Linked DNA regions of Schizosaccharomyces pombe. The protein of the gene in region 1 purifies or fractionates together with the protein of each later gene. This does not show direct contact. Each region holds a gene or a part of one and is shown on either strand. Other genes may lie near its edges.

Evidence for each region.
Region 2: the proteins of zip1 (region 1) and pof1 purify together in Schizosaccharomyces pombe (affinity purification with western blotting; one study listed by BioGRID). This does not show direct contact.

Annotation. Positions count from the first base shown.
Region 1 is NC_003424.3:4,297,822-4,302,001, forward strand, and holds zip1 (DNA-binding transcription factor Zip1), read left to right. Parts: upstream 1-1,993; 5' UTR 1,994-2,137; exon of another isoform or gene 2,138-2,200; 5' UTR 2,201-2,244; coding exon 2,245-3,237; 3' UTR 3,238-3,580; downstream 3,581-4,180. Other genes in the region: cruciform cutting endonuclease Cce1, read right to left, coding at 1-84; meiotic recombination protein Rec10, read right to left, coding at 3,581-4,180.
Region 2 is NC_003424.3:1,372,209-1,377,740, reverse strand, and holds pof1 (F-box/WD repeat-containing protein Pof1), read left to right. Parts: upstream 1-2,145; 5' UTR 2,146-2,857; coding exon 2,858-4,675; 3' UTR 4,676-5,019; downstream 5,020-5,532. Other genes in the region: SPOM_SPAC57A10.07 (uncharacterized protein), read right to left, coding at 1-436; protein mug15, read right to left, coding at 669-709, 794-1,154; SAGA complex deubiquitinating submodule subunit Sgf11, read left to right, coding at 5,434-5,460. UniProt on the Schizosaccharomyces pombe protein: Probably recognizes and binds to some phosphorylated proteins and promotes their ubiquitination and degradation. Required for the inactivation of zip1 via ubiquitination.

The DNA.
Region 1 (4,180 bases):
AAGCAACTCATCCTTTCTTCCACTTCTTGACAATCCAGTTAACTTACAGATGTGCTGTAAAAAACTAAGTTTCACAGTAGCCATTCTGTAAAAAAGAATAAATTGACATAAAGAAACGGATATGAAGTTGTAAACCTATAGCAATGATTATGTTTTTTTTTTTTGCAAAAACAAGGAAACGAGGCAGTAAGAATTGAGTTTATTCAAATAAGAAAAAATGATTATTTCTCTTAAAATGAATTGTTTTTAGAAGTGAACAGTTTTAGATGCTAGATGCAAACGTGAAAGATAGTATATGGTAATACAAAAAACGAAGGATTGGTAAATGGGAGTCCGGGAATTTTTATTTCACTTACGAGTAGAAACATGTAATTTTTTTTCTTTTATTCCATAAGCTTGCGATGTTTGAAGTCGTTGACAACGTCTTGCTTAGTTCAAACTGCTAGTCACCTGGGAATTATCTGAATAAATAAGCATTAAAATATGAACAAAGATTGGCGAGTCCAAGTTTATGTGAAATATCAACAACGATATACGTCGATTCATAGGAGGTTTGAACTCATCAACCTAAAGTTAGAAATACATGGCAAAAGAAATTTATCACAGATTGTTAATATGTTTGCAATCAGACATTGACTTAAATCAATTCTTAAGACTTGTTTGTAAGTGAGCAAGTTTATTATTGTTTTATGAATGATCGAGGTTGTGTAAAATGGCACAGTTTGTATTTGAAAGCTAATTTGGAATCCACAAAATTTAAGATATATAACAGAAAAGCTTTTATACAGCTGAAGTCTTCATTTAATACCCCGAATCCGTCATTGTCTTTTATTATAATACCGAGTTTCTATGCAAGTTAGGTAAAACTCCATATTTGAAGTCTTGGACATTGAAATACTTAAACTGTAACATTTGTTTTAAACTATTAGGATTAAATTTTCAAAGTTTTGATGGCACACATTGTACTATAGTTAGCAAGTATATAGAACGGCGATGGTTGACAAAAATGAACTACAAATGTAACCACGGAATGAACGTGAAGGTTTATCGGATTTTGATTTTAACGCTGTTTAATTTGTATTCAGCTACCTTTAACATTAATGATGAATTTCTGCTATTGGATTTCTAAAACTCCTCTGAAAGCATATAGCAGACAATGTCTTACGCAAATACAAAAAATGCTTTAAGGATTTCAAAGCGTTTTCCACTGATTTTTTTCTTATGCAAAAAGCAAATCTATTACTGACTTTAAGCTTGAACTTCAATCATTCTCATTTCTATTTCGTTTCCATATTCTATTATAGAGGATCTGTCAAGTAACATGTTTTGTATTTGATTCTTTTTTTACACAAGCAGCACTAGTATGAATAAGTTTTAAGAAGAATATGACTTTGTTCCGGAATATATTAACTGACTGAAAAGTAGAGAATATACTGTTTTTAGAAAAAAAAAATTGCGAATTGTCTGACGCACTATTGTTTCAATATATGAACCGTTGTTGGGGATGAAAAATGTTCAGTAAAAACCCCAAACTTAAAACTTATTGCGCATGTAGATCTAAAGTAGTTTATTCAATTAACTATTCGACTGACTATTACAACTGGGCCATTGATATATAAAATGAGCGAATATTCTAATGGCTTTAGAATTTTCAATATAAGATAAAACTTCCGATCATTTACACAAAAAGCAAGAACTTAAGACTGCTTTTTAACTCTCATTAATAGCATACGACTGATTTCTTTAGGATTTTTTTCCTAAATAGCAATTTGTTAGTGACTTATATAATAACGTTTTTCTAGCAGGTTTAAACTACTACGGTAACAACTTCTATAATAATTAACGGTGCACTATCTTAATATAGGATAGTTTTATGAGGATCTACGTACAGCTACACTACATCAGATTTTTAACGCGGAGATTGTAATCTCATTATTATCTCAACGCTGCATGATCCCGATCGCAGACGTGCTGGCTCAGTCATCAAATTTTCTACGATTACCAACGTAGCGTCGCCATTCATCGAGTCACTAAATTTGGTGGTTTAGCTCGTTTATTGCGAACGGTTGAGTGTGTTTTTTTTACCTTTGTGAGATATAATTTGATTAGTAACGATAATTTTGCCGTTAAGTCTTAGGTAAGCTTATTGTTGGAGAGTTCAGTTTTTTAGCGAAATTCCATGCTAACAATTGATTTTCAGTTAATTTTAAGAGACCAAGAGTCTCAAGATAAAGCTTTTGACAAATGGATTTTACTCCTAATAGCGCTATCAATCACTTGAATCTTAAGTTCGATGATGTTCCTGTCTCTGACGATTTTTCAAAGGATGATCTCGCAGAGCAATTAAATGTATTCACAAATCCATACTTTTTAGATTTAGAGCCTTCTAGTATGCTTTCAGAAGGCTATTATGGATTTGTTTCTCAACCTTCAGGTTCTTCCAATTCCAATAAGCAGGAAAAGAACGTGCAGCAACAGAATCCCGAAAAAATTTCGACTTTGCAGCAAGTTAAAGAGGAAGAAGTTAGCAATACCTTTTCTGCCCCTTTGAATGCAACTGGAAATTTTTCTTCTGCTAATCCTGCTTCAATTGATCTTGCTTATCTCGACTTGCAGAAACTCCTAACCCTACCTGATCATTCAAAGGAAACTCAAGAAAAAACTTCGTCTCAACGAGAGCTCTTTGAGCAAAAGTCTTCTGTTGCTTCAGCCTCCAAGGATAATGTTTCTTCTTCCTCAATTCTCCAAGGTTCAGCTTCCTCCAAGTTACTACCTGATCAATCTGCAAGACAACATCAAGTTTTGGTTGGACAGACTGCTATCCCGACTTCTGAAGCTAGCAGCTCTATTAACAATACCCCTTTACAAGCTCCCGTTTCTTCATTTGCTGATCAAAACGCATTTACCAATCCCCTTTCCACTTTTGCCAGTCCTGATTTAGCATCTGTATCTTCCCCTAGTCTTTCTTCTTATAAGGGTGCTCAGTCTCCCAATGCTAACAGTAAACGCACCAAAGCTACTTCTGCCATCCGTACTGCTGCTGAGGAAGATAAACGTCGTCGAAATACCGCTGCTAGCGCTCGTTTTCGCATCAAGAAGAAGCTTAAAGAACAACAGTTGGAACGCACTGCTAAAGAGTTGACTGAGAAAGTCGCCATTTTAGAAACTCGTGTTCGTGAACTGGAGATGGAGAATAACTGGTTGAAGGGACTTATACGTCCTACTTCTAACTTTTAAAAGTGGTTTTCTTTCCCTGTTATTTTATACCCCTGTCTTCTGCATTGATATGTTTATTTCTTCGATAATCATTTATTTAACATATAAAGGTTTTCTTTACAGGTAAACTTATGTTTTCTTTTGGAGCAAATCTTTTAATTTTCTTTTTTTCTGCGTATGCATCCAACTGCTACGTTCAAGTTCATCAGTTTTACGTTTACTAGGTAATGAATTTGATAATATACCTATTTTTCTCGTGTTTCTTGCTTTACGTAAATAAAATATAACGCTTCCAATGTGAATTGTTTTAAAGTAATATGTCAATATAAGCCAATATCAATAAATTTGATACTATAGGTTCAAGCTACTTAAACATCAAACTGTCAATTTGGCTGACCAGATTAACTTCAATTTGCGCCAATTCCTTTTCGATGATCTTATATCTAGCAGTTTGTCTTTTCGAAAATTCCTTAATCACTTTGTTACAATTTATGTGGTAAGCCTCAAGCTTTGACCTCAATTCCTTCTCGTTCTGTAAAATGCCCTCGTATATTTGATTTCCTATCATAGAAGTATAACGTTGTAAACCATCAATAGTAGCAGATTTGCTAGATGGATTGTATGCTTCGTTCTTCTCAACTGTCTTAAAAAATTTGTTGTAGGGTATTTCCTCGAGCTTGACAGTTTCCGCATTGGGATTCCTGTACTCAAGTTCCTGGCGATCTGATATCAGCGTACTGCTACTTGAGTCTGGCTCCTTGTCATTAAAACATTCATTATTAGGCGGGCTTGAGCAGGTACCATCTAGTAGACTGGTAATATTTGGAGTATTTGCTTGTTTAACAAAGGTAGAGAGATCAATTTGACGACTATTTCCAGTAAGTTGAGGCTTAGATTCCTGTTTCCAATGTTTCTCTTTAAGAAGTTCTTTCCATACGGAGCTTTTAAGACTATTATTTCCATC
Region 2 (5,532 bases), 2.9 Mb from region 1:
GACCAGCACCGTTTCTAGTTTGACCTCCGGAAAAAACCAACAAAGAGGAATCATCTTGAGATAACAAGTCTAAACCCGATCGTACATGTTGTGCAAATACTTTTCCTTCCCCCTTTTGGTAGGGCTCAAGAATCCATTCTGAATCGTCTTCCCCATTAGTAGACCCGCCTAACCAAACCGCATGACCGGCAACAATAATCAAGTGTGTGAGGTTTTTCAAAGGTTGTGCTCCTACCAAGGAAGTAGGACTAAAGCATTGAAGACTGGGATGGCTCATAGTAGAAAATATAGTAAAAAATATGCAAAGCAATATTAGAGAAGCATAAAGTGCTATTCCAGTTCGAGACTTTGGGGAAAGAACTCGCCAAAATCTAGACGATGAGGCGGTTTGGGTAGCATAAAAAGGCAATTGAATAGTTAAGCGTTTATTTAACATTTAAAGACCCAGTAGAATCCCAACCTGGGTGAAGGTCTTTGGCAAGACAAATATGAAAATAAAAAGTTGCTGTAGCGCGGTAGCGTATTATCAGTGATACCCAGGATACCCAAACAAAGCACGCGAAGCTTCTCATTGCTTAAACGAGCTAAAACTTTTATAAAAATTAATTTACCATAGATTCAAACATTAATAAAATTAATTTTATTGATAAGAACGGCAAAAAAAAGTTTTATGTTTCATCCTTTGTAATTGCAACAACGAACAAAGAATCTAAATTTTCTAGTTAATTTATTGCTTTATTTACGCTTTTTATTTAAAAAATAAGATAAAATAAAATTCGGGCGTTTAGCATACCATACATAATCACCAGTTGGCAAGAATCGAAAGTCAATCGTAACAACCTTGCTGAGCCTAAATCGGTGAACTCGTTGCAGGATTCCAAAATGTTGCATACGAAAATCACCAATCTCTTCAATTCCGCTGGCACATCAAGATCAGTTCCACCGCAACCTTGAAGTAAATTTTTAGTGAAAACGGTAGGAGACTTGTTTAATTCATCCAAGCTAATTGTGGTTAACGCGTCTAACTCTGGTATCATAGTACTCTTCAAAATGCCTGCATCTCTTATTCGAAATAAATGGACACCAGTCACTCCTTCTATTGAGCGTACAGATTCATACAAGTCATTGGCACTTTTCAAATCACCAACGTTCATATTTATTTAGTTGTGTAAAAAATATTTGGTTAATATATGTCCATCACTTGTAATCAGTCAACATTAAGGGCAAATCATAGGTCAACAGTCGTTTTGATGAATTAATTATGCATAGAATATTATATTGAATTTGTGACAAAAACAATTTAAATTAATATATGTTCTCAAAATAATGTATATGCAGACTATATGCATATTCCTCGGCGACTTTATATATTTCACGCGTACGTGACATTAACAATATTCAATCAAAGATGAACAATGAAACCGCTAGTCATTATCCTTTTATTTATACTTAAAAATCTATGTTAACCGGTATTCATGAAAAAAACAGCGGCTCAATAAATCGCTATTTCCTTCTTCAATATTGTTCATGTTATGTGATTAACCGAAAATCATGTATTCTTTCTTCTTGTAATAAATCATCGATTTAGCTTTGTTTACGACAACTATATATAGGTGAACAAGTTGAGCAGTGTTTTAATCATTTTCTGAGCGAATAATCATCCCTATAAACGCACCTAGCTCAATTACTTAGAAGTTTTTATGAATATATAAGCGGTTACTTAATTCATTCGAGTTTAAACTGATGCTAGCTATTACAAACTCAATTACGATTTGCTTAGCATTACGGCTCCATTGCCGCCATACAAAGTGAAGAAATATGGAGGAAATTCACCAAAATTAAGAAATATACAAACTTTGAAGCGACTGATTAAACTGTTGACATCCGAGAAAATTTGCATTTTCACACCTTCAGCGACATTTCCCCCGATCCCCGAAAAAGGTGCGACTTGTGAGGATTGGCTATTTTTTATTAATCTAGTGGAAAATAGCTGTTAAACGTTTGCAGATCAGTAAAAATTTTCAATATGAGTGGCAGATTGCGCAATAGTTGGTTAATCGAAATCAATTGCATTAACTGAGAAGTGGACAGATTTTTAATGATCTACGCACATATATATACTGAGACGAATAGAACGACATCTTTGCAATTTGTTTTATCCACATTATCTTCGGATTCGTAATTTTGAGATTCGCTTAACATCTCGCAATTCTACTCAAAATCTCAAATTCATTAGGTGATTATTAGTCTTTAGGCCTCACAATCCTCTCTATATTATATCCTCTCCTCCTTAACCTCATCGAAAGCCACCTCAAGAAAATACACATATTTGGAATAATCAAGTGGTTGGATAAAGAGTATTATTGGAGTTTTTTGAATCATTAAAATCTTGGTTCTACCTCAACTCTTCATCTTTTTACTGAAGGTTGCCAAAGCAACGAGTTTGTGTGTATTTTATATTTGATCTTCTAGTTTCTTTTTCGTTTATCTTTTACATAGTTTGTGTCTCTTTTTAAATTTTTTTTCTTGTTTCCATATATTTCTATCAGCTAGCACTTTAAATTTTCGATTTACTTACAAATTACTTTGTAAGGTTCGATAGTTGACTTTCCCCGCTTATCATAATTATTACAATCTTCATATAGTTTTCTCCTTTTTTTTTGTATTACTATAGTCTTTTATACTACTATCATCTTATCCAAATCATTTCTGGTTTCATTCTGTTAACATCTACCCGCATCATCCGTGATAACATTTTTTTGTGCTATTATCCACTCTATTTTTTTTTACCCTAAAATCAACCTTTGCATTGTCCCTTCTTTCTTTTCATACTTAATATTTAACCTTTATAAAAAAAATGACTACAGGTTATGAATCTGTTCCCACTTCCGAACCCTCTGATAATCTTGCACCACGAGCAGAGCTATGGCAACGCCATTTACTGGAAAAAAAAGAAGGTGATCAATCCATCTCCGTTTCGGCTTTTAATATTTCTTCAATGCATAATGAATTGTCTGGTTTAAGCGAAAAAAGTCGTCAACGTGTCGAAGCTGTATGGGCTGCTTTTTCAGAGGCTTCTTGCAGCGAACGTAAACTCGCTTTGCAAGGCATTTTAAACAACTGTTCGTCCTCTCTTCTCTCTTTTGCCTCCAGCACATTAGATTCTCTAGTACGCTTAGATTTTCTCTCTTTGCTCCCTGTTGAAATTTCGTTTCGCATTTTATCTTTTTTGGATGCTAGAAGCCTTTGCCAAGCTGCACAAGTCAGTAAACATTGGAAAGAACTTGCTGATGATGATGTTATATGGCATCGGATGTGTGAACAACATATTAATCGAAAATGTGAAAAATGCGGCTGGGGACTTCCGTTACTCGAAAGAAATACCTTATACGCAGCAAAGGCTTCCATACAAAAACGTTATGAACGACTTACAAAAAGAGGCGTCGATCAGGCTCATGAATCTTCACCCGTCAAAAAAGCAAAGCTGGACGATTATCCGACGTCGAGTAATGAAGAGACTATTTCTTCTGTCAAACCACCTTCTCCGAACTCCGATTCCAAATTCTTTCTTCCCTTTAAAACCAGACCATGGAAAGAAGTATATGCTGAACGTTGTAGAGTTGAATGCAACTGGCGGCATGGTCGTTGTCGCCAGGTTGTTCTCAGTGGCCACTCTGACGGTGTTATGTGTCTACAACTTGTAAGGAACATTCTTGCTAGCGGCAGTTATGATGCCACTATACGATTATGGAATCTTGCTACCTTTCAACAAGTTGCTCTATTAGAAGGTCATAGCAGTGGTGTTACGTGCCTTCAATTCGATCAGTGTAAACTTATCAGCGGTTCAATGGACAAAACTATTCGTATATGGAACTACAGAACCTCTGAATGCATTTCTATTTTACATGGTCATACGGATAGTGTTTTATGCTTAACGTTTGACTCTACGCTACTTGTTTCTGGAAGCGCAGATTGTACAGTTAAGCTGTGGCACTTTTCTGGCGGTAAGCGTATCACTTTACGCGGTCACACAGGACCTGTCAATTCTGTCCGCATAATTAGAGATCGTGGACTTGTTCTTTCCGGTTCCGACGATTCCACCATCAAGATTTGGTCTTTGGAAACAAACACGTGTCTTCATACTTTCAGTGCTCATATTGGCCCTGTCCAGAGTTTAGCTCTTGCTGATTCGCGATTGTTTTCTTGCTCATTGGACGGCACAATAAAGCAATGGGACATCGAGAAGAAAAAATGTGTTCATACATTGTTTGGACACATTGAAGGTGTATGGGAAATTGCGGCAGATCACCTTCGTTTAATCTCGGGAGCTCATGATGGTGTTGTTAAAGTTTGGGAGGCTTGTGAATGTGTTCACACGTTGAAGAATCACTCGGAGCCTGTAACCTCGGTTGCTCTTGGAGACTGTGAGGTAGTCAGTGGGTCTGAAGATGGGAAAATATATTTGTGGCTTTTCAATAATGCTCCAAATGAATCTCCAGTATCTACACAATCTGTTCCGATATCTTCCCTTAATGGTCAAAGGTCAAATTCAAGTGTGCAACGAGCTCTTTCTTCAGTACCCAACTACTCATCCTCGTTATCCAATATCTCAACCAGAAATTTAAATATCCCACCCTCTAATGCCAATAATGACGATGTGTCGATTCAATCGTAGTTACCCCAACATCGCATCGCCTTTTTGTTTGTGTCTATTTCTTTTTTTCTTCGGCATTTCGCTTGTATATCCTTCATTTTTCATCATTCGAAGCTATGTCTTTATTTATTGCTCGGGTTGCCAAAATGCCATATCTAAATTTGGCTCTTTTTTGGTAACAAACACTTTGTCTATAATCAAAAACTACTTCTAATATCCTTGCCTGTATTGTATTATTTAAATCATTTGAGATTGATGGCATCCCGGCATACAGTTTAGCCTTTTGCTTAATTTACTAGCGAATTATTTTATGACTTTTAACATTTTATGTATTTAATGAATACAATTTATCCTTAGTCGAGCTGAAGAATGTATGATTTGATGAATTGTAAAAGGGAGAAACTTAGGTACTATGTTGTAGGCGTTGTTTTTTCCAATTGCGCAAGTGGATTACTGATATTTTATTTCATGAGCGTGTGTATTTTGCATTGCTCTTGGAGTCAGAGAAGTATGAAATTAGCAAATTATATCAACACTCACTATTAGCAAATAAAGTCAGCTCCTACGCAAGCTAAAGATGTAACACCAAGTATTTGAGCCTAATAATTTTTATAATAAAGACATCAATTTGAAGCACTTCCGTTCTGTAAATCTCAATTTCCCATACGGATCAGTTGCATCTTTTTCCTCATTGTTTGAAATTTTGGAATCACCGGCTTTGTAACAATACTAACTTGCTTGGAATACTCAACTTTTGATTCCCAAAGAATGGTTTAAAGATGCAGCCTGCTTCTCTTGCCGGTATTGTAAGTACCTGATTTCTCTATGTGTAATTGTTTTTCCTTTCAAAATTAAACTTCCTCGCCAAAAAAAGATTT